Linked DNA regions of Canis lupus familiaris. The protein of the gene in region 4 purifies or fractionates together with the protein of the main gene of each other region. This does not show direct contact. Links are inferred from orthologs where the notes say so. Each region holds a gene or a part of one and is shown on either strand. Other genes may lie near its edges. The genes, in order: FYTTD1, NXT2, RANGAP1, NXF1, SRSF7 and XPO1.

Region 1 (3,500 bases), on a different chromosome or scaffold from region 4:
AGATGTTCTATTTTAGGCTCTGTCACATGTAACTGGAGAACAAGCACAAGTTCAATCTTATAAGATCCTAAGCTGCCCCTAGGTATCATTTATCTTAAAGCTCAGATGATAAACCCCATAAAAAGAAAGTTTTTCTGGTCCTTCATGGACCAGATCCTATTTCACCTTATCCATTAAACCACTGATTTTCTTAGCACAAAATCTATCTAAAGTCCTTTGGTACTACTGGAATTTCTTTCATGACATTTCTCAACTCCATGTTGTCTGTCTTATCTCTGCTACTAGAAATTCCTTGAAGTAAAAGATCACATCTCTAAAAACCCTAAGAACCTAGTCAGTTCAGGGCATTTATCATGTATTTAACATAGAACTAGCATAAACAAATACATTTCTGGCTCCTGTGAACTCTGAAATTAAAGCAAATGTTTAAAATGTGGTATGCTGAATAACATCTATAGGAATTTTTAAATATAAATCATTGGAATTAAATATTCATTTGCTATAGGTAAATATCTGTCACAAAATTTACTTGCTTGGGTTCCACTGTTTAAGGTATTATTAGAAGGGGTGCATGGGTGACTTGGTTGAGTGTACAATTCTTGGTTTCAGCTCAGGTCGTGATCTCATGGGTTGTGGAGTTGAGCCCTGGGTGAAATCCCTGGTGAGGCTTCCAGTCTGTGCTTAGCAGGGAGTTGGCCTGGGATTCTTCCCGCTGTCCCTCCCCCTACTCCCACATGCACACTCTTTCTAAAACAAATAGATAAATCTTTTAAAAAAATAGAAATGAAAATTATTAGAGAAGAATAAAATTCTTTGTAGAGTCTAACCTCAGTTACAGATATGTTTAGAGAGTATGAAGGCATATTAACTATTATATACATAGAACTAATTATAATCATGGAACCCACTGGTAATTATTTTTTACGTTTTTTAACATACAGGATAAAAGTCACCAAACGTTTTTTACGTGTGTAAAAAAGATCTAGTTTTTTAATTTGAACAAAGGTTCTTTTTTTTTTTATTTTTTTTAAATTTTTACTTATTTATGATAGTCACAGAGAGAGAGAGAAGCAGAGACACAGGCAGAAGGAGAAGCAGGCTCCATGCCGGGAGCCCGACGCGGGACTCGATCCCAGGACTCCAGGATCGCGCCCTGGGCCAAAGGCAGGCGCCAAACCACTGAGCCACCCAGGGATCCCCACAAAGGTTCATTCTAAAACACTGATATAACTGCTAAAAAAATTAATGAGTCATATACAATTAATAGGGTTCAGTAACCACCTTAAATCCATTTTGGAACAACATGGTTATAAATCAATCAATAAGCTTCCACAAAGTGCCAAAAAATACCTGTATATGTAGAGTTCCAAGATTATTATATCACATCTAAGGCACTCAATTCTGAGTGTTCCCTTTAGAGGATTTAACAGATCCTTAAGAGCCCTAGATGATAACACAAAGAGCCTGGAAGTATTTTCCATGCAGAATAGTCTCACATATTTAAAAAGTTCTCATATAGAAAAGAGAGTTTGCTTCCTGTAACTCTACAGAGTTAACAGGTAGGCACAATTTAATTTCAATTAAGAAAACTTTCTAGTAAATAGTTATCTCCAATAAAGGAGTTGTCTTGTAAAGTGGTATGCACTTTCATTGAATATATTTTATGCATGTGGGAGTTATGTAATTATCCACCAGACTATTAAATACCTAACTGGAAAGGAAATAAAACCTCTGCTTTGTAAAATCCCTTACAATACTGTAGCCCTAAATATAATTTATGCTATTTACATACAAAAGGAACTTTAAAAATGACTTAATGTTTTTAAATTTTTTTTTTTTTTATGATAGTCACAGAGAGAGAGAGAGAGAGAGAGAGGCAGAGACATAGGCAGAGGGAGAAGCAGGCTCCATGCACTGAGAGCCCGACGTAGGATTCGATCCCGGGTCTCCAAGATCGCGCCCTGGGCCAAAGGCAGGCGCCAAACCGCTGCGCCACCCAGGGATCCCGACTTAATGTTTTTAAAAAACAGGGTTATCACCTAATTAAAGCAACTGAAAATGCTTACCAGATTTCAAGATTAAACAAAAATCTGAGAAAATACAAATCACAAAGGGTACTAATATATTTCTTCCATATTTTAAGTATGTACTAAACATAGCATGCTATGAATCTACAAATAATAGCTCTTTCTTAAGTTTACTTGTAAAAATTACCAGAATTCTGTTGGATTCCCCATCGCACTCTCATCCTGAATTGCCGGGCACTGCTTTGCTGGAGTTTTCTATTTAGTCTCGGAAAATTCTGCTTCTTTCCTTCCTTTCTATTCAATTTGATGATATCATCTGTGATATACAAAATGTGATGATTATTAACTTACAACTTAACTCATTTTAACTTAATAACTCAATTAATTACTCAGCCTCATTTTCTAGTTGACAGATTTCTTACATCCCTAACTTCTTTGCTACTTTGAAAGCACTTTCGTAAGAGGATAATAATAAGATAAAAATTCAAATCAGCCAATATACTTTCAGCATTAAAGAAAAGTTTTATAGGAAAAGCTCAAATCAAGAGCTCAAAGCAAATCTACCAATTAATGAAGATTTCTATTTCTGTTATCCACCATATTTCTTTAATGCATATAAATAAGCAAAAGCCTATTTACAAAAATTACTCATATCTACTTTCCATAATCACAGAAGTGTCCAGTTTTTAAAGACGACCACCTTCCAATAAAACCATAGGCAGTAAAAATAATAATAATAATAATAATAAATCATTCAACTAAAAGAGTACATTTCTAAAGAAGTTCATTTCAATTCGGCAAATATTTATTGAGCATATGCTGTGTGCAATGAATGTATGTGGCAGGTTATGCTGTAATGAAAACAAACAAAAGTAGAGTATGGTCCTTATTCTCAGGTAAGTTTAAAATCATTGATGGAAACAAGTAAATAGCAGCTATGAAATAAAAAGCACATAATAAAGGTATAGCATAAAAAGAAAATAATTGGGTTCTTCACTTTTCTAGCAGAATATTCAGAGCTACCTTCCTTTCTGCCTTCTACACTCATTGTTTTCAACACTTTTAAACTCTCCCAAAGTAATTTACAAACATCACATTGCCCTAATACCACAGCACAACAATGTGAAAATCAGGAAACTAAACCAACTCCAGATTTCTATTTACAAATGTCAAAAGAAGATTACTAGAAGCCAAAAAATATTCATCTAAGAAATAGCCAAATACTTTGTCCACATCCCAACTTCAATATTAATTTTGATGATTGATAAAGCAAATAAACTGGTCAACTTAAAATCTCACAAAACTAATTAACTTCAATTATTTTTTCCAAATTGCTCTAAACACAAGAATCTAACAACTATATTAATATAATTAGTCTTTTCTGAAATAAAAGAGAGAATTATATATTATAGGAATCTTTCCTTACATATTACTACTCTACCTAACCCATCGGTAATTTTTAAGACTCTTAAT
Region 2 (4,268 bases), on a different chromosome or scaffold from region 4:
CAGCTTTGAGCTTTAATCAGAAATTAATAATATATGAAATTAAACAGTTCAAGGAACATTCCCTGTAATGGCACACTCCTTCACTAGCACTGATACTGTTTTAAGTATACTGGCTGAATGACAGCGTTAAAAAAGGTAACATATTTGAGTAAATATATGTCAAACCCCATGTCAAGTGCAGTAAGTTAATTCCCATTTACTCTCCCTAAAACTAGAGAATAAGAGAGATTAACAATTTACCCAAGGTCACAGAGTTAGGTAAATGCAAAGCTGAGAGAGGGACTCCAGAGCCCACATTTCCAGAGTATCATAACCAATCCTTCCCTTAAAAAATGCACTTTTAAAGAACAAGCCCACAGTTATCACTTATGCAAGTCAGATGACTGGATGGCTACAAAAAGACAAAAAGCAAAACAAAAAACCCTGGTACTTAACAAAGTGTAGTAGAGTCTATAAGGCTCACCCGTCTTCTTTTGTCCATTGTCTCATAGTAAATATTGACAAATTCCTCAGCAGCTCTACATGCCTGATCTACGTGAGTTTTAAAGTCCTAGAAGAAAAAATTCAGAAGTGCACATTACCACCCCTCCAACTCCTAACAAAGAGAAAACGAACAAAAGCTGGTCACGTATTTCAATCACTTTGTAGCTGCATACACAGTTCACATTCTTCCATCGATATTTGGACATTATAAAGGTCAGGGTTCAAAAGTTTCCAGTTTTTTTATTTTCCCCCATTTTAAAGTACATGTGTTTAGGACATACTCATCCCTCAATAGTGAATTTTTTTCTCATTTCAAATATGAATTTATGTTTGCTTGGTAACTGGTACTGGAAGTACCTTACGCTTCCAATATCTTACAAAACATTCACCTTAAAAAAACGATGTGGTCTGAACCTTATAAAGGGCAGGGTGGTGGTGGAAGTGCTGAATTCCCTCTTTAAGCCAGAACTCAGGACAAAGAGTTACTCAGTGGGGGAAAAAATGGAGTATAAAACGAAGTTCGATGAAATGCTTGAAAAACTATATAGTTAGGAAACTTCTACACATGACGGAAAAATTCACCGGCATTTGTAAAGAATTGTCGAACCGAAGGAGAGAAATGCTGTTGGGGTTTTTCTTCTGCCGGATGATTTAATAGGTACCTTTCTCCCAGCCATTCGCCGAGCCCAGCCTATTATTTGAATTAAGAATCCGTTTCATTTCCCTGTCAGGATATCGAAAGTCATTCAGAGAGGGAGATGATAGAGAATAAAAAATCGCAAGCCATAAACAGACCCCAACATTTCCGCTTCCCGCCAACTCTCATCTCGGGGTCCTTGGCAGCAATCGAAAGGGACTGCACGGACGCCAAGGGGTGGGGGCGGCGGGGGAATCTGTGGGCTCGCGACCCAAGGGGGCTACAGAAAGCGGGCCCCGCCCCGGAGCCCAGCGGGCCCGGCCCTGATTCGCCACGGGACCACGTGACCACCAGGCTGCCCGCCCCAGCGCCCCTCCCCTCAGCTGCCCGAGCCGCGGCGCCTCGGCACCCTGCAGTGGCCCCAGCACTCACCACAGACGTGGCCATGAGGGACCCCGAAGCAGCTTGTTCCGGCAGTGGCGGCGTCACTACCTCTTCACGTGTCGGGCGCCCTCGGCTGCTGCAGGACCAAAATTTAGGAAGACAGCTAAACCCGCCAAACGCCGAATTCTCTACCCGCCCATTCTCTCCCGGAAGTAGCTCGGTCCGTTGTTAAAAGCACCCCGATGTTCCAACCTTAAGTACACTTCCTTCAGTTCCGACCGTACCCTCCCATCTGCCTCCTCTATTCATTTGGTTGCTATTTATCTACTTGGTTGGGAAGAAAAAAATCCTCTGCTTTCGTAAACTAGATACTCCAAGTAAAAGTATCCATTTCCCTCACGAAGCGGGACAAGAAAAAAAAAATCTAAATGGCCCAATAGGGGGACTTCTTTGCGCCAGGAGGCGGGGCCAAGGATAGCAGAAGACCAACGAGAAACGCGAGGAGACACCTACTGGAACTGTAGACTATAGGAAAAAGGGGTGGAGTTTGGGGAGGGATGCCACCACACTGCGCATGACTGGCAAAGAACGGTTTAAAGTTCTGGAACATTCTGGAAGAATCTAGCCTCACTAAATCGAATCCCAACGGTCTCAGCAGCATTCCTAAAATTATTCATGATTTGGTTTTCTGCTATTCATAAGAAAAGGCTTATCAAGTTCCTTCATGCCCAAATTTTGGTCTCAGACTCCAAATGAAGATTAGCAAACCTTGCCATTCACCACCTTCTGCAGCCTACTTTCTAACTGCAACTAAAATTTTACTGCGTGGTGACCACGAGCAATGTAATTTTCTAAGCATTTTAATCGATATTCACTTATTACTTTAATAATGCTATGAGGTAACCATCTCCAGTTTATAGCTAAGGCACATTGTGATTAAGGAACCCACTGAGAGTCACAAACTAATTGGGGTTCAAGCTCAAGCAATTTAACTACCACTACAACCTGATTTCACTCTCCAGCATCCTTTAAAACCGTTCACCTCAAAGGCACCAACAGCTTCTGCATGGTTAAATCAATTAGCTATCGCTATAGTCTTACCTCGAATAGCTGGTTTCTGGCTCATCAAAATATTCTCTCCTTCTTTGGTATCTTCCTGAGTCCCTTCTATGAGCCCAGTCTCTTCTGAATCTTCTCATATTTGAATCTTATTTGCCCCCCACAGCGCTCCGCTCTTCAAACTACCTTCAACTGCAGGCAGACTGACTTTCTTCCCCTGCGCCCTTCTTACTGGCGTCACTTCCGGGGGTGTCTCTTATTTAAAAACCTCCTTCCTCCCACGTGACTTCAACTGCTATTCATATGCTAATAAATCTTCACGACACATCTCCAGCCCCCACCGTCGATGTCCAGTTCCGCTTATGGAATTTCACTAGATATGAACAGCAGAAATGCTTTACAGGTTTCTCGAACTCTTAAGAGTCCAAAATTTAAACTCCTTAATTCCTCTGCAATTCCAATCTTCTGTATTCTTTCAGTCATCTATGCTTGAATTCTTGGACTCTATTTTTAGCACCCCCATCATCGTAATTCACTTGTTTGTTCAAAAAATATTGAACACTTACTATGGACTACCACGTTATGCAAGGTTCTCCACATAACGTTCACAATGTAATGGGAGTTCTAGACAATAAACAGAACATTTATGAACTACAGAGGAATTCCAAGTAACTTGCTCAATTTGGCTCATTTTTTAGGCAACCTCTCTCTCTCTCTCCCCCCTTCCTCACCTCCTCTCCCCCTCCCTTCTGCTGCCCCCTCCCTTCCGCTGACCCCTCCCATATCCTCCCCTTCCCTCCCCTTCCCTCCCCCTCTCCCTGCCAGTCCCCACCCCCTCTTCTGCTCTGCTCCCCTCCACCATACCTTCCACTGCGCCCTCCCTTTCTTCGACTCTTCCCCTCCTCCCCTTCCCTACCTCCTCTCCCTTCCATTCCCCTCCCCTTTCCATCCCTCCCCCTCCCTGCCAGTACCCACCCCTCCCCCTCCCTTCTACTCTGCTCCCCTACCCATCTCCTTTCCACTATCCTTTCCATCCCTCCCCTCTCCTCTCCTCTCCCCTTATCCTCTTCTCCCTTTCCCTCCTCTATATGCAAATATTCTCACTTCTCATTTTTCCAAAATGTTTCTAATCTTTTAAGACCTACCTTGGTCTAGTCTCAATTTGCCATTCCAGACTTCTCTCTCATTGTTCACCAACATCGGCAAAGTTAACTAGTACTGTTTGCCAAAAATGACTTGTGTTTACTGCTTTATAGGTAATTATGCTTATTAATTGAGAGCTCAGAATAGGTGTCTGGTGTTTATTATAATCTCATTCAATCCTCATGACCCCTGGAGAGAGACAAATTATTATCTAAAATTTTAAGAACTCAAACTGCAATTCAAAGAGGTTAAGTAAATTGGCTAGGATGACATAGCTAGTGGAGCTAGAATTTCAACCCAGAGCTGTGTAATCCCAAAGTCTTTTCTCTTAGACACTCTGCTAGTCACGTATGTGCTTAAACTACACTTTTTAAAAAAAGGTTTTATTTATTTATTCATGAGAGACACACAGAGAGAGAGGCAGAGACATATACAGGGAGAAGCAGGCTCCCTGTGGGGAGCCCAATGCAGGACTCAATCTCGGGACCCTGGGATCATGCTCTGAGCCAAAGGCATATGCTCAACCACTGAGCCACTCATTGTCCCTAAACTATGCTTATTT
Region 3 (4,121 bases), on a different chromosome or scaffold from region 4:
AGAGAGAGAGAGGCAGAGACAAGGCAAAGGGATAAACAGGCTCCATGCAGGGAGCCCAATGTGGGACTTGATCCTGGGACCCCAGGATCATGCCCTGGGCTGAAGGCAGTGCTAAACCCCCTGAGCCACCCTGGCTGCCCTGTTTGTTTGTTTTTAACCTAGGTACTATGCCCATCCTGGAGCCCAGCATGGGGCTTGAACTTATGACCCTGATATCAAGTCCAGAGCTGAGATCAATAGTTGAACACTTAACCAACTGAGCCATCAGGTGCCCCTCTAACCAATCTGTTTTATTTTTATTTTTATTTTTATTTATTTATTTATTTTTGGACCAATCTGTTTTAAATCGCAACCCCCTCGGGGCACCTGAGTGGCTCAGTGGTTGAGCGTCTGCCTTTGGCTCAGGGCGTGATGCCAGGATCCCAACGTCCTGGGATCGAGTCCCACATCAGGCTTCCCACAGGGAGCCTGCTTCTCCCTCTGCCTACGTCTCTGCCTCTCTTTCTATGTCTCTCATGAATAAATAAAATCTTTATAAATAAATAAATCGCAACCCCCTTAAAACTCCTTACCCCCTTCTCCGTTTGTTTTTCTTATCACTTACACAAATAAGATTCCACATGTCTTATTTAGAACACATGTTTTAAGAGGTGCCCAGCTAGCTCATTTGGTAGAACATGTGACTCGATCTCAGAGTTGTGGGTTTGTGACCCATGTTGGGCATAGAGATTACTTAAAAAAATAAAATCTTAAAAAATAAATAAAAATAAAATCTTATAAAAAAGAGAGAGGGCAGTATTTTTGCTTCATTCACTGCTTGGTTCTGGTATCTAGAGCAACGTCCAGAACATAGTAATACCCAATAAATGTTTATTGAATGAATGAGTGGTGCCTTCTTATCTAGGAGAATAATTCATACATATTTGTAAAAATTGGCAAGCCAGGGTGATCAGGGTTAAGATAAGGAGAAGGAGGTGGGAGGCTGGCTATAGGAGCCCAGAGGAAGCCTGGGGGGAGTTGGAGGATTGGGGAGCCATCACAGTTGTATCTTGAGGACGAATAGATTGGGGAAGGACATGTTCTGGGTAAGGAGTTTTTGTGGGCCCTTCCTCGTTCTGTCTTCCATATCCATCATCCTTGGTCTCCCCTGATGACCTGCCATTTCCTCTTTAGGGAAATGGAGTGGTCTTTCTGCCAATCTGCCGAGTTCTTCCAGGCCAGAAGCTCCTTTCTTCAGCAGCTCTGCCCTTGGTCTATTGTGATGGTGGCTGTTGTGATGTAGAGACCTCTGGTCTCCTAGGAACCCCTGAGGTTTGGCCACCATGGATTGCCCAGTCTTCTGGCTAAGGTTGAAACCAGACGGGCAGTGGGCTGACACCTGTGCCCCATCCCCAGAGACATGCCAGCGTGGGAGGTGGGGCATTTCGCGGGATGGATAACCTGGATCCCTTAGCCATCCTAGTCCTGTTTGAGGAATGGGACCCTCAAACAGAGAGCAGCCAGGATGATCAGGCAGGTGTGTGCCTGGAGTAGGCTCTTTGCATTGCAGCTGTTGGTCTGGGCCCAACTACCATTCACTGGGAGCCCAGAAGATGGGCAGCTCAGATGGCTGTGCTTGGTGTTCCAGCTGGGGCCATTGGGGCAGGCGAGGAGTTAAAATAAGCTAGTAATCCTTCAGGGGCTAAAACATGATTTTACTACTCTTGCCACTTTCTCCACCTTTCTAGAATTGTTCCTTACCTAATAGTGTTTTCATTTCTCCCAGTAGTTTAGCTGTTGGAGTCTCCATGGAGGAGGGGGTGTTAAGCCCCTGAAAGGGCTGATGTCCTACCCGGCCCTCCCCAACCAGGGGGCCCCAGGAGACTCCTGTCTCTTAATGAAACTTCATCCTGCTCAGTTTGCAGATTTCCGGGGGAGCCCAGCAACGTGGCCAGCATGGCCTCTGAAGACATTGCCAAGCTAGCAGAGACACTTGCCAAAACCCAGGTGGCTGGGGGTCAGCTGAGTTTCAAGGGCAAGAGCCTCAAACTCAACACTGCGGAAGATGGTGAGTTCCTGCTTGGGCTGGCCCAGGGGAGGAAAGAGTGTGTGCCAATGACTCTTGTTCCAGCTTGTTTAGCTACATTATCACGTTGTTTGTTACCTAGTAGCTCTGTGAGATAGTTTTGGGTCCCTTTTAGAGTGAGGCTCAAAGATGTGCCCACAAGGACATATATAGGCTTCCCTGCTAGTCATCATGTTTTTGGAGGCCATCCTTGCTGGTGACAGCTTAGGTTGGCTGGTGGAAAGGGCCACTTTATGTCTTAGTGGGAGGAGATAGTAAACAACAAAGGATCACAACAGCAGTGTCAGGGTATAGTCCCTGACTTCTTACTTCCCACCTTTACCACTATGATCCCAGACTGGTTTTGGGAATACTGGTTGGCTTTCCCAGAGGTAAGGCCCTCTTGGGAGGTCTGGTCCGTGCAACTGAATGCCCCTGGAAGAGGGAGGGATGTTCTTGTCCTAGGAACCAGGACTGTAGGGAATTAGGAAGCAGAATGCAGGCCTTGTCTGTTCATCCCTGGCCAAAGCATGGCTAACACTGGTCAACCCTGAATCCCCTGACGTTTGGAAGTGAAGGCACCTACGCCAGCACTTGCAAGGACTCTTGAGGTTCTGGCCCAACCAGGGAAACTGGTATGGACTTGCCCGGTTGTCATGGATTGCAGGCAAGCTTGCTCACCTGCCCTGCCTCAGAAACTGGAGTTCTCAGGTTGTCAGGAGCATGGCAGTGCACATTCCTGATGTCTCTGAAGGGCCTTAACATTTACAGAGTCCCTCCCTGTGCTGTTATCACTTCCGATCACACGTCATCCCTGAGGGGGGGATGTAGAAATGTTACCATTTTATAAATAAGGAGAAGAGATTTGGAAGACCTAACTTGTCCAAGGTCATCTAGCTGGTAAGTAGCAGAGCTGGGATTTTAACAGAGGTCCAGCTAAGTCCCTATTCTTGTGTTTGTCAGTAGACAGCTCAGTTCAGTAAAGATGAATTTGCTTTTTTTTTTTTAAGATTTAAAAAAAAAAAAAAATATTATGTATTCATGAGAGAGAGAGAGAGAGAGAGAGGGAGAGAGGCAGAGACACAGGAGGAGGGAGAAGCAGGCTCTATGCCGGGAGCCGATGTGGGACTTGATCCCAGGGCCCCAGGATCGCGCCCCGGGCCAAAGGCAGGCGTTAAACCGCTGAGCCACCCAGGGATCCCCCTTTTTTTAAGATTTTATTTATTCACGAGAGACAGAGAGGGAGAGGGAGAGGCAGAGACACAGGTAGAGGGAGAAGCAGGCTCCATGCAAGGAGCTCGATGCTTGATGGGACTCGATCCTGGGATTCCAGGATCATGCCCTGGGCCAAAGGCAGGTGCTAAACCGCTCAGCCACCCAGGGATCCCCTGAATTTGCTATTAAATTCCATTCCCTGAATGCTGAGTCAGGCATTCTTTAAGTGCCTGACTTAAGGAAGTTTATCCTCACAAAAGTCCTTGAGGTAGGTCTCATCCCCATTTTGTAGATTGGAAAAGTGAAGCCCTGGGAAATAATAGGACTTGCCTAAGGGCACAGATACAGGTAATGGAGCTAGGATTAGAGCTCAAGCTTGTCTAGCTTTAAAATCTGTGCAGATCACTAATTAACCAGCTCAGGCTGGACATGTTGCCTCCATTTTCTTGGTCACCAGGGATGCCCAGCTTATAGCCCCGGCCTCTGAGGACCTCCTAAGATGGAGTAGGAAGGAGGTACTCAACTGCCAGGGGGTAGAAGGTGAAGCATACTCTGAGCAACGTGAACAGAAAGCTGTGGGAAATACGGCAAGGGAAAGGGATCATTTCTGGTTTAGGAGGGCCCCGGAAGTCCCCATGGATAAGGTGGTTGAACTGTCATTGTAGGGGAGAGGGCAGTAGACGCAGGGAGTATCATGTGAGGGGAGGAGCTGAGACACATAGGGTGGGCTTGGGCGAGAAGGAATCAGGGTGCCATAGGGAGCCCAGTGCAGACAGCCTTGAATGTAGTGTGGAGGAGTCTGGCAGCTGGACCCTGGGCCCAGAAAGGGCCTCCACCTTGGCTGGCAGTGAGCTGGCATAGT
Region 4 (3,500 bases):
CCAGCCTCTGAGCTCTGGGGAAAGAGGCCCCACTCCCCACTTCACCCGGGGCACCCAGAAACAACCGCCTTGAAGGCAGACGCTCTTCTTGCTGCCTGACCCGAGCGCCACAAGAGCAGCACTCCCAGCCCAGGCTTTAAGCCAGGACCTCCTTCCCCTCCCTGCCCCCCTTACCTTCCACCTACTCACCTGTGCAGCCCCGGGAGGAGGGAATGGGGTGGGAGCCCAGGGGCTCCGCTGCCTCAACAGGTATCCATCAGTTCTGCCCAGCCTGGCCATAGCCAAGACCAGAACACACCACAGGGATGGCACAGGATGTTGGGGCAGGGAAATGAGCAAGGTAGGGGGTCAGGAAGAGGTGAAGGAAGAAGATGGAGAAGGAGAAGAAGAGAAAGAGAGAAGGGAGGATGGGGCCAAGGCCAGGGAGAGATGGGGACACAGAGGAGGGGAGAGAGTAAAAAGAAAGAAAGCAAAGGCCAAAGGAGGCCTTAGGAAAAACAAGGAAGAAAAAAGGGAAGAGGACACCCGACACAGCCTTTTCCTTCAGCTGCCCCTTCTTTCCCTGGTCCAAGGTACAGACGGGAAACAAATTCTCGCTGCGGCCGGAGGGCAGTTGCTGTTGGCCAGGTCTCTGTCTGCTACCTGGGTCCCAATCTGAGCTGGGCGTGGGATGTGAAGCAGCCATGGGGGCAGGAGACCTCCCTCAGGAGGGGTGAGGGTTCAGGCCCCTGCAGAGTTGGGGGGGTGAGGGTCTGTGCCCCACCTCTGTTGGCCCCCAAGTTCTCTCCTGATGGCCCCTCTGCGACTGTGCCTGTCTTAGGTTGTTCCTTCCCTGAGGAATCTTACCCGTCTCTGGCTAACCAGCCATCCTCCGGGGCCAAGCAGGGTGACGTGAGGTGTGCGAGTGAGGGCGGGGCAGCGCCCCCAAGAGGGTCAGTGCTCTGTCTCCTCCGCAGTCTATGCCCCCGTGGCCTCCACGCCCAGCACCTGCCTTGGGCTTCCCTCGCCTGCCGGCGGGGCCCCAGCTCTGCTCACACAGCTTGGGGAACCCAGGTTTCTTCTCCAGGGAGGGCCCAGCTCACACAGCTCCAGGCAAGAGAGACAGAATGCATGGCACCAGCTCCGAGGAGGCCTCAACCTCAGCATGAGGGAGAAAGCCCAGGCAACGGTGGCCTTGGGCACGTGGACCGTGAGAAGAGAGTCCCTCTTGGCCAAACGGCAAGAGGGGCTAGCGCAGAACAAAGAAGGAAAGGCCCATCAACAGGAAGTCCCAGGGCAGAAAGGCTTTCTCAGCCCTGGGACAGCAGGCTCTTGCATAAGGCAGCTCCATGTATGGGGCAGATGACAGATACCCCATGGTCATGCCACAAAGCAGGAGATGCCCTTCCTGGAACAGGAGAGTAGGGAGACTCTAGAAAAGGCTGTGTTTGGGAAGAGGAAAGACCACAGAACAGCAAACAGGTAGTCAGGTGAGAAGGAAGGTAAGGAGACCTCGGGGCCAAACTGGGACACACAGACAGACGAAGGGAGGAGCATGTGATCCTCCCAAAGGACAGGTGGTTCCAGCTCAGGGCTGCACATCTCCTGCAGACGGGCACTGGTCAGGGTACATTAGCTCAGCCTCCCAGGGGGTGAAGGTCCCCAGGAGGGGAGACAGAGGCTACAACTGACCTGATGTAGGTGGACTGATCTCGGAAGGTGTCGCACAGCGGGTTTCCGTCAAGCCACAGCTCTTCCAGCTTCAGCCCTTTTACCTTGTCCAGTTCCCTCTCAGATTTCAACTGCGGAGAGGAGGGCAGAGAGAGTGGGCAGGAGACCCCAATGAGGGAGCCGAGCCAGTGAGATCCCCACACCGTGCCTTCTGCTGTCAGCAGGCGAGCCCTCTGCACCCTCTACTCACCGCCCCACACAACATAACCAGACCCTCAGGTCTCACCTCATTTCCGGAGAGGTTGAGGATCTTCAGGTTGGGTGCTTTCTGCACAAGGCTGGACATGTCATCCAGCCTGTAGAGCCTATTGTTGCTCAAGTTCAAGGACAAGAGCTACAGGCAGAGAAAGGATTAGAGGAAGCACTGCCAACAAAGGATTCGGAGACACATCTGCCTCCTAGCCCCATTCTACCTGTCCCACTCTGCCTCCTCCCATCTCTAAGCAGGACAAAAGCCTCACCTCAGGGATATTCTCCTCAATGATTCGCAGCGTAGCCGCCATACAGCTCCTGCGATTCAGGACAACATCGATGTTCTGGGCCACCAAGTCTTCAGGCAGCATAAAGGAAAGAGAGGAAGTCTGAGAGGACTTTCCCACGTCAGAGTTCATACCAAACTATTCTCAAACTTTCCCCGCCCGACAGACCCCCCTCTGCCTCCACCTCTCTGAGAATGACCGCTGCTAGTCATACCTGGGTCTGAACGGAGACCCTTGAGGTCAAGTGCTTGTTGGGAACCATCGTATCGTTTGCTCATGATCAGCTACAGGAGAAGGAAAAGGGGTCAGCGGTCACTCGGGTTGTGCAGAGGGGTTGTGGATGTGAGAACTGGTGGAACTAGAGAGGAGACACATGACGTGAGCCTGCCTCACCTTTAGTTGCTCTACTTGTTCTGGCTTCAGTTCGTTCTGTACAGAATGGGGTGGGACAGAGGAGTTGATGATGATAGATATCTGCAGGGAAGACACAGAGAGCAAGGTGAATTCTGGGAAAGCCTAAGCCACAGGACCACGACCCAACTCCAGCCAAGCCAGGCCCTTTACACACACCCTTCGGTTTTCCTGATCCAAAATCTTATAGTTGACAGCTTTCAATGCAGAGGCGGTACTGGCATCCTCCACAAAAAACTGGGCCCGTGTGTTTTCATAGTGAAACTGCACAAAGAGGAAGAAACAAGAGCATGAGACTGGGAGCCTGGGGCCCCTGGTCCAGCTGGCCCCTCACCTTCCTTGGTGCCCAGTCAGCCACCTGGGCCTTATCTCACCTCAATGGGGGTGAAAGGGACACTGCACTTGCTCTGAATCACACTCAGGAGCCATGACTTGTCATATTTTCTCCCATAGGGAATCTAGATGAGAGAGAAGGAATATCATGTAATAAAGGCTGACCAACAGACTCAACCTAGTGCTCCTTTCACACCTTCTGCCAACTTCTATGACATTTCCTAAAGGAAGGGCCAGTTAAAAGTTTTTTTTTTTTTTACTCAAGTCAGACACAGATTCCTTACCTTCCTTTCTGCCCATTTAAACTTAGTATTTTTCAAGAAAATAGAACTATGTGGTTCCTTTTTTAAATTTAAGATTTCATTTATTTATTTATTTAACACAGAGAGAGAGAGAGAGAGAGAGAGAGAGCGCGCGCGCTCAATCAGGGGGAGGGGCAGGCAGAGTGAGAGGGAGAAGCAGGCTCCCTGCTGGGGTTTGATCCGAAGACCCTTGGATCATGACCTGAGATGAAGGCAGATGCTTAACCGACTGAGCCACCCAGGTTCCCCAAACTATTTGGTTCTA
Region 5 (4,245 bases), on a different chromosome or scaffold from region 4:
CTCACCTCCTTCCCCTGCTCCTGCTGCGTGAGCGGGAGTATCGCCTACCTCTGGATCTTGAATGTGATCTAGATCGTGACCTATTTTTTTAAGTCAGAGAAAAACAAAATGTTAGATGGTAACTCGTTTTTAGAGTTTGTGTGCCTCTGCTGAAATCAAATCTCAAAACTATTTAAATTTAGTGTCTCATTTGGAAATAAACTCTGGGCCTATTAGTTTTTTTTTTTTTTTTTTTTTTTACTACCTAAAAAAAGATTTGTTAAAAGCTGAATTACATCTTAGAATTACATAATATAAAACACTGTAATGTGTATTTAAAATAAACCTTGCAAGTTTGCAGGTCGACCCTCTTTGGCCCATGGTCTAGTAGATCTAGACGATCTAGAAGTATCTATAGCCGATCGCTGCATCTAGATGTTTTCTTCAATCTAACGACGATCAAACTGACAGCCAAATGAGCCAGGTGAGGCTTGATTGACGCAAGAAGATTTTTCTAGTTGGGAATGTGGTCAATCTGATGTTCCTCTTTCTAAACCGGAGGGGGCCCCAATTGTAAGCCAAATTTACTGTTACGGCGATCACCGTCTCAAATTTTCTGCCCTTTAAAGAATAAGGTGAAGCTAGGTGTAGATGACTCGAGGGGATCTGGCCTCTTATGCTGATCACCTCAAGGTCTAGGAGGATCTTAATTGTCGGATTTGCAAGGCGCCTCAGCATGATATCATAAGGCTCGTGACATTCTGAATCAAGGCGACTGACTCAAACGAAGAAACCTGAAAGGTTTTGACCAGGTTGATTATTAATATATTAACATTTGTTTAATTAAACAAAAATTGTAAAATACACCTGTACAATTAACATTCAAGTTTATAGAAAAATACTAGTTTCTGCCTTGCTAATAAAAAAATTACTCGATTAACTAGTATACCAACCATTCCTTTATTAAAATAAATACCTGCTTCGCCGCCGCCGGCTATAACGATGACAATCATAAGCATAATGTCCCTTTTCGCCACATTCATAGCATCTATCATTGGGATCAAAGGGACGTCGGGCAGGTGGTCTATCAAAACGAGATCTCCGAGGCATGCCTGTTGATAATTCAACTCTCACTCGGGAACCACAAATCACCCTACAAAAAAAGGCAACAAAATTCTAATGCTAAAAAAATAAACAATTCTAGATTTAGAGCTTTCCAACCATGCTTTTCCCTCACAAACTTCAGCTATCTTTATAAACCTTTCTAACTCCACCTTTGTGCCTCCTTCATATCTTTATCTTAAGTATATAGTCATGATTAGCTACTTAAGTCTCCTCTAGACTACAGAATCTATGCTTGTCACCTAGCTCACTACTCAATCCACAGGAATGTTCTAATAAACGTCAATTTCATAACCAACTCTTACTTACTTCCCATCCAGGCCTCGCACTGCATCTTCTGCATCTCTAGGATCTTCAAATTCCACAAAGGCAAATCCTGGAGGATTTCTCGCAATCCACACAGTTCTTAAAGGACCATAATAACTGAAAGCCCTTTCTAACTCTCCTTTGCCGGCACCGGTTCCCAGATTACCAACATACACCTTGGTTTCTGTTTAAAAACGCAAATAGAAGAATGAATGTTATGCAAAATTTTGCCTACGTCTGAGTGAATTTTGTGCCCCAAACAGACCATCCGTTAAGATTGTGCCAAGCACGTTCAATGCTTTATCAAGGATTTAATTTAGTCTTAAAGCCAGCGAAGCCCATACATTTCTGAAAAGCCAGGCGTGTGACAAAGTTCTTAACGTTCTAATAGGGAAACGACCTCCAAAACAGAAGCAGACACGTGGTAGGATATTCCGAGGCGTGGGGCGGGCTCCGCCCCGGCCCCGCCCCCGAGTCCCGGCAGCCCCGGGCGCGCGGGGAGCGCGCGGGCCGGCAGCGTCGGCGGCGGCGGCGGGCGGGCCCCGGCAGGGGCCGGACCGGGAGAGCGGGGCTGCGCCGGCTCTCGTCCTCCGCGGCAACCGCCCGAGGCGCAGGCTCGCCCAAGACTCCAGCTCCCCGCCCCAGAGCCATAAACCGCGCTCGAAAGAGCTAAAAGAGAAAAGAAACCAGCCGCCAGACGAAAAGATTAGGTCTCCATTCCCACTCAAGTTCGACCGACTGTCTGACGAGAATGCGCAGCTCGAAGCTGCCCCACTTCTGTCCGGTCTCAAATCCATCCTTGCTTTTAAGGCTGCGACCCGATCTGTCTGCTAAAGTGGCGGGAAAGCGCCAAGGAAATGCGCCACCATGGTCGTCAATGTGCGCAAAATGGCAGCCGGGAGCGGGGGGGTGGGGGGCGGGCGGGCGGCTTCCAGGAGGGCAACGGGGAAGCCGTGACCGTGGGCCTGCCGTGGGCTGTGGTTGAGACGAAAACGCCCGAGAAGGAATACGGAACCCACCCAGACTTGCACCCGCCATCCCCCGGCTGCCTCCGATACCCCGCCCCCGCGGCCTCCGGCTTCGTATGGTGTACGCCGAGGCCGCCATTACGCACGCGGAATAACCGTCTCCCAACCGCCGCGCCAACCCCACGGCCTCGCAGTACTCACTGCATCCGCAGCAACGCCCCTCACTGGGCCCTGGCCTCTTACCTCCTCCGTACCGCCCGTAACGCGACATGATGCTGGCCCGCGAGCTCGGCGCTTTCCGCTCGCAGTGCCCAGGGAGCGAGGAATACAAAAGCTGCGAAACCCAGTGAGTGGCCAACGGTCCCGGCGGCACTACGAGGAAGAGTCTGGGTTCGCGCTTATATACGCGGCGGCGGCTTCTCTCTGCGCATGCGTCATCTCGACGTTCTGCGCGGCACAAAGGAGCTGGGCGGAAACAGCGGAGGGGCGGCGCGGAGGGAACTGAAGGGGCTAAGACGCTGGGAACGGGCGGAGGGATACGTTTCCATGGGAACGCCAGACCTCGCCGGTAAACCCGTGGACTTCCCCGCCGCGTCCCGCCCCCTCCCCTCCCCTCCCCCTTTTCCTTCCTTCTCCCTCCCCCCTTTTATTTCCCCCCAGTCTAGGAACCCTCAGCTCAGGTAGTCTTACTGCAGGTACACTACACCGGCCTTACGAAAGGCTGTAAAATTTAACCGCTGATGTTGCAGCTGTCGCCGCCTTTCTGCGGGGGGACCTGGCTTAGACTGCTGCTCAGTCGTCTCCGGGGCTCATCAGAGGTAATCGGGAGTTTGGCCAGGGTGAGAGCTGCATAAACCCCTCCATTCTGAGTAGTGGTCACTGCGCCCTGGGCCTCAAAAGGAGTGCCGTGCCCAGGGACTGCACCGACCCTCCGGCCGCTTCAGAACCAATTTTCACCCACACCGTATGAGTTCTTGGACTCTGGGGCACAGAGGAATAGAGTTGTATTTCTTTTTACGGTTATTTTGAAACTGTGCAAAGCCCCTAAATCCTTAAAGCATTCTAGCTAGTGGCAGTTATGAAATTATTTGCATTTGAAGCACAGATTTATTTGTGCTTTCTTTCTAGTGCTTTCTGCTTTGAATTGTAGTAACACATCTCATCCACTAATACTCCTATCCTGAGGACTGGGACTTTAAGTCGTCTTCGAGTAACAGCCTTGCTGCTCAGCCAAACTCTATAGAAAATAAATGTGAACCCTTTCTTTAGATAGAATTGCTTAACATAAGTTCTGATTGTATTTTTATTAGGTATAGTTGACATACAATGTTATATTCATTTCACATGTACAGCATAGTGTTTTAACAATTCTTTGCATTACTGGATGTTCGCCCTAAGTGTAGTCACCACCTGTCACGCATACATTTTTATGGTATTATTGACTATATTTCCAATGCTATACTTTTCAGATTTGATTTTATACAATGTATTTTCCAAATGCCAAGTCTACAAATACAGATTTAACTCCTTTTTCACCAGCTACAAAAAAAAAAAAAAAAAGACATTACACTATATATAATAAATACTTGGAATATTTGAGTTGGAATTGCTTCACATAAAAGATGTAATCATTAGCTATTTGTATCTCTATGTTTTTCATCTGTAACTTCACGTGATGTATTTGGATGTGTGATGCGGACTATGGAAGACAGGAGATTTAGTTGGTGAATAAAATATGGATCCTCTCTTGACAATGCTACAAATTTATATACGTATTTTTTTCAGATGTATCAAATTATAGAAAGAATACATCCATTGCAAGAAAATTCTAGCAAGAAAATAGAAGTTCTATAGAATGTTATATTTATTC
Region 6 (3,500 bases), on a different chromosome or scaffold from region 4:
TTGCGGGTGATGAAAATGTTTTAGAATAGAGGACACTTAATAATTCTGTGACTCTCACTACAGTTGTACACTCTAAAAACAGTTTTATATTATATAGATTATACCTCAGTTTCTAAACATCTTTAGACTTTTCATCTCAGAAATGTCTGAAGACCAATTAGGAATTGAATTGTGATTATCAATTATTGATCTGGCATTATGCAGAAAACAGAACAAATTCAGCTTGTAATTCAAAATTAACATATTTTATGCATGGACAATAGGTAAGAAGAGGTCACAAGTACAAACATCTTATTTATATTAAAAGACTATTTTCTTCATGAGAGACACAGAGAGGGGCAGAGACATAGGCAGAGGCAAAAGCAGGCTCCCCAACTGAAGGCAAATGGTCAACCACTGTGCCACCCAGGCATCCCTATTTATTTTTTTTAAAAAAAGGTTTTACTTACTTCAGAGAGAGGAGAGAGAGGGGAGAGAGAGAGAGAGAGAGAGAGAGAGAGAGAGAGAGAGAAGACCCAGACAAGCATGCGGGGAGCGGGGAGAGACACACGACAGAGGAAGAAAGATACTTTTAAAAAGGATTTATTGGGCAGCCCAGGGGGCTCAGCGGTTTAGTGCTGCCTTCAGCCCAGGGCGTGATCCTGGAGACCTAGGATTGAGTCCCAGGTCAGGCTCCCTGCATGGAGCCTGCTTCTCCCTCTGCCTGGGTCTCTGCGTCTCTCTGTCTCTCATGAATAAATAAAATATTTTAAAAAATAAAAAGGATTTATTTAGGAGTGATGCATGCACAAGAGTTGGAGGTGGGGTAGAGGGAGAGAGACAAGCAGGCAGGGCTCTATCCCAGGATCCCGTGCTGAAGGCAGACTCTTAGCCAGCCACCCAAGTGCCCAAAGGTACAGACATTTAAAAAAGAAAAGGTAGACATTTCACAACAAAGGCATTTTTATAACAAGGCATTTTTGAAACAATTTTCATTATTTAAGAATTTCAGAAGCCAAAGGCTCCACAAAGCCTACCTCCATGAGTGTTTCCCTGAGATTTAACCTTTTCTCTATAAGTTGACCATGTTCCTTAAGAAAGGTGCAGAGAAACAAACTGAGATTTTGAATAAAGTTCTGTTCATCATCTTTTCCATTTGAGTATGCAAGTCGAATATTGGTATTTAAAGGAAGCATCTACAAGTTTAAACAGGGACCATTAGTCTGCATCTTAAAAAAAATCAACAAAAGATATTACTTTTAAGTACCAAGATTTCACCACCTTGTTACTGATATTATAAGCCAGACTTAGATTATTCTTCACTAGGAATCCATTGTCAGTTTACACTATAGCATTTTTGCATTCTAGTGGTTTTTAAAAATGTTACAAACAGTAAGATTTCACAAAGTATCTTTTCATTTTTTCCCTGTATCAGACTTTTCCTTCCTTAGTGTTATTAAAAAACAAGAACATTTAAGTAATTCATTTGGATCACTAAGGTAATGTATTATGGTTAACACTCTAAACAATTTCATATATACCTAATCAAGACTGTTAATGTACAATCTCTTCATTTCGGAGTCAAAGTCAGAAACAAGAGGTAATATTAAACCCCAGGTTTCCAAGCTTCTAAAAAGTCTATGTAAATAAATTCCTCGGATACTTCCAGAATCTCTATTTCAAGGAATTTCCAAATGTTCATTAGAATGTCTGCCTAATCTTATTTTAATAAATATACACTGTATAGCGATCAAATGAAGTAAAAAATATACAATCACAATAGTTATGATTAGTTATGACAGAACAGTTCAACTCCAACTCAAATTTTTCTAAGGCATTAAAATGGTTTGCTCAGATCTTAAGAGTGTTGTATTACCTGTTTTAGCTGCATCATTGTCAGTGTAAAGAGCGTTACAAATTGTTCCTCGTATTGGCTTACACTTACACCAGCAATCTCAGTGAGGCACTTCAGAGAGACATTTCGAAACATTGGAACATTCAGGAACTATTTTAAAATTTTAAAAAAAGGAAGCAAAAAATAAATGGCCTGTAATATTTTACTTAACAATTAAGAAAAATAAAGGTTTTAACAATCAGGATCATAAGATGGGAAAAAAATCAGATCAATCCATGGATATTTTGTTTTGCACATATATAGAGGAAATTTCATTATCTACCCAACAAACAGTAAATGCTTTAGGAAAAAACTGAGCCTCTTCTGATCTGTCTTCAGACATCTAAACACAAAGTCACTTAGTAATTTTCCCAGGACCCATTTTAGGACTTTTAACGACATCATATTTTATGTATAGTCTAAAAAAGACCCAAGATTTATAACTGCTCAGGATTTTAGGAGATGGGCGATACACATACGATTAACAAATGTATGGTAAAACTGGCTCTTTCATATTCTATTTGTTAAGAAAGTATGAAAGTGGCATACCACTTATGGATGGCAATTTGGTAAGCATCAAAAAGCCTTAAATGGATTATGTTCATTGATCTGACAATTATATGTATAAACATTTATGCAAAATAGACAGGTACATAAATGCTGTATTACTTAGTTTCCTCTTGTACCACTGACAATAGCAAAGTTATATATATACTTATGTATACACTGTCAACAGTAAACTGTCTCCAATATTGTAAATTCATATATTAGAATAATGTATTACCTTATCAAGCCCTAAACTACAAAACCTCAAATGTTAAGTTATAATAATCTTCTCAGTTAAGCATACAAATTTATTCCTTCTATTTGCCAAGAAAGCATCTGGAAAGATAATACAACCTATTGATAAGCAGTCGTCTCTGGATGAACAAGTATTAAGAGTTTACACAGGTATTGCATGCTGCTGCTTTAAAACAGAAACAAAAACAGGAAAGAAACCAGACCTTCCATTTTATAGCCTTAACTTACCTTACTGTGACCTATATAGCAAACTAAAATCAAATCCCTTAATAGCTGTTCACAAGGAATTCCTGAGAGTTTGACACCATTACACAGATTAACTGAAACTAAAGAAAAGTTCTTCTAAGCAGTTTCTCATATTAGACACAACATTGGTAGGTTATGCTTATAAATGCAAGCTTTTCTAGAGCAAAGACCATTAGAAATTAAAAATATATGGAACTATCCAGTGATAAGAACTGAGATGTATTCACTATACCTTATAAATTAACGTGCTGATTAACTTGGTCTCAAAAATATATCCCAGTGGAATCCAATTCAGAAATCTAAGCAATGTTTCCAAAGTTGCATGTACAAGTGGAGCATTTTGGGAATTTTCCTATAACAAAAACATACTTGTAAATAATCCTCTTCATATAATTAAGTGTTACTTTTAAAAAACGGTATCAAAAGCACTTACCATCACAAACTGACACAGCTGAAAAATTTGGGAGAACTCATTGCACATGCTAAAAAAAAAGAATTGATCAGTTTAGAAGACAGAGAAATTATTTACATACTAACAAAATTACAAAAGATTTCAGTAATTTGGTCATTAAAAACTCCA

The links.
Region 1: the proteins of NXF1 (region 4) and FYTTD1 purify together in Homo sapiens (affinity purification with western blotting; 3 studies listed by BioGRID and IntAct, with this or other methods). This does not show direct contact. The link is inferred for Canis lupus familiaris from reciprocal best matches to the Homo sapiens genes NXF1 and FYTTD1.
Region 2: the proteins of NXF1 (region 4) and NXT2 purify together in Homo sapiens (co-immunoprecipitation; 5 studies listed by BioGRID and IntAct, counting the BioPlex papers as one, with this or other methods). This does not show direct contact. The link is inferred for Canis lupus familiaris from reciprocal best matches to the Homo sapiens genes NXF1 and NXT2.
Region 3: the proteins of NXF1 (region 4) and RANGAP1 purify together in Homo sapiens (co-immunoprecipitation; 3 studies listed by BioGRID and IntAct, with this or other methods). This does not show direct contact. The link is inferred for Canis lupus familiaris from reciprocal best matches to the Homo sapiens genes NXF1 and RANGAP1.
Region 5: the proteins of NXF1 (region 4) and SRSF7 purify together in Homo sapiens (affinity purification with western blotting; 3 studies listed by BioGRID and IntAct, with this or other methods). This does not show direct contact. The link is inferred for Canis lupus familiaris from reciprocal best matches to the Homo sapiens genes NXF1 and SRSF7.
Region 6: the proteins of NXF1 (region 4) and XPO1 purify together in Homo sapiens (affinity purification with mass spectrometry; 3 studies listed by BioGRID and IntAct, with this or other methods). This does not show direct contact. The link is inferred for Canis lupus familiaris from reciprocal best matches to the Homo sapiens genes NXF1 and XPO1.

What each region holds. Positions count from the first base shown.
Region 1 is NC_049254.1:29,634,533-29,638,032, forward strand, and holds part of FYTTD1 (UAP56-interacting factor), read right to left. Parts: intron 2,344-3,500; coding exon 2,215-2,343; intron 1-2,214. UniProt on the Homo sapiens protein: Required for mRNA export from the nucleus to the cytoplasm. Acts as an adapter that uses the DDX39B/UAP56-NFX1 pathway to ensure efficient mRNA export and delivering to the nuclear pore.
Region 2 is NC_049260.1:83,436,372-83,440,639, reverse strand, and holds the start of NXT2 (NTF2-related export protein 2), read right to left. Parts: upstream 2,801-4,268; 5' UTR 2,704-2,800; coding exon 2,606-2,703; intron 1,775-2,605; exon of another isoform or gene 1,757-1,774; intron 1,641-1,756; coding exon 1,553-1,640; intron 1,401-1,552; exon of another isoform or gene 1,279-1,400; intron 1,165-1,278; exon of another isoform or gene 1,161-1,164; coding exon of another isoform or gene 1,146-1,160; intron 551-1,145; coding exon 464-550; intron 1-463. UniProt on the Homo sapiens protein: Regulator of protein export for NES-containing proteins. Also plays a role in mRNA nuclear export.
Region 3 is NC_049231.1:24,911,638-24,915,758, forward strand, and holds the start of RANGAP1 (ran GTPase-activating protein 1), read left to right. Parts: upstream 1-1,321; 5' UTR 1,322-1,431; coding exon 1,432-1,516; intron 1,517-1,897; coding exon 1,898-2,047; intron 2,048-4,121. UniProt on the Homo sapiens protein: GTPase activator for RAN. Converts cytoplasmic GTP-bound RAN to GDP-bound RAN, which is essential for RAN-mediated nuclear import and export. Mediates dissociation of cargo from nuclear export complexes containing XPO1, RAN and RANBP2 after nuclear export.
Region 4 is NC_049239.1:54,407,311-54,410,810, reverse strand, and holds part of NXF1 (nuclear RNA export factor 1), read right to left. Parts: intron 3,059-3,500; coding exon 2,975-3,058; intron 2,865-2,974; coding exon 2,760-2,864; intron 2,664-2,759; coding exon 2,583-2,663; intron 2,474-2,582; coding exon 2,404-2,473; intron 2,261-2,403; coding exon 2,172-2,260; intron 2,045-2,171; coding exon 1,937-2,044; intron 1,782-1,936; coding exon 1,672-1,781; intron 1-1,671.
Region 5 is NC_049238.1:30,974,215-30,978,459, forward strand, and holds the start of SRSF7 (serine/arginine-rich splicing factor 7), read right to left. Parts: upstream 2,801-4,245; 5' UTR 2,647-2,800; coding exon 2,619-2,646; exon of another isoform or gene 2,360-2,618; intron 1,592-2,359; coding exon 1,411-1,591; intron 1,133-1,410; coding exon 956-1,132; intron 81-955; coding exon 6-80; intron 1-5.
Region 6 is NC_049231.1:62,845,991-62,849,490, forward strand, and holds part of XPO1 (exportin-1), read right to left. Parts: intron 3,403-3,500; coding exon 3,354-3,402; intron 3,273-3,353; coding exon 3,153-3,272; intron 1,985-3,152; coding exon 1,856-1,984; intron 1,176-1,855; coding exon 1,017-1,175; intron 1-1,016. UniProt on the Homo sapiens protein: Mediates the nuclear export of cellular proteins (cargos) bearing a leucine-rich nuclear export signal (NES) and of RNAs.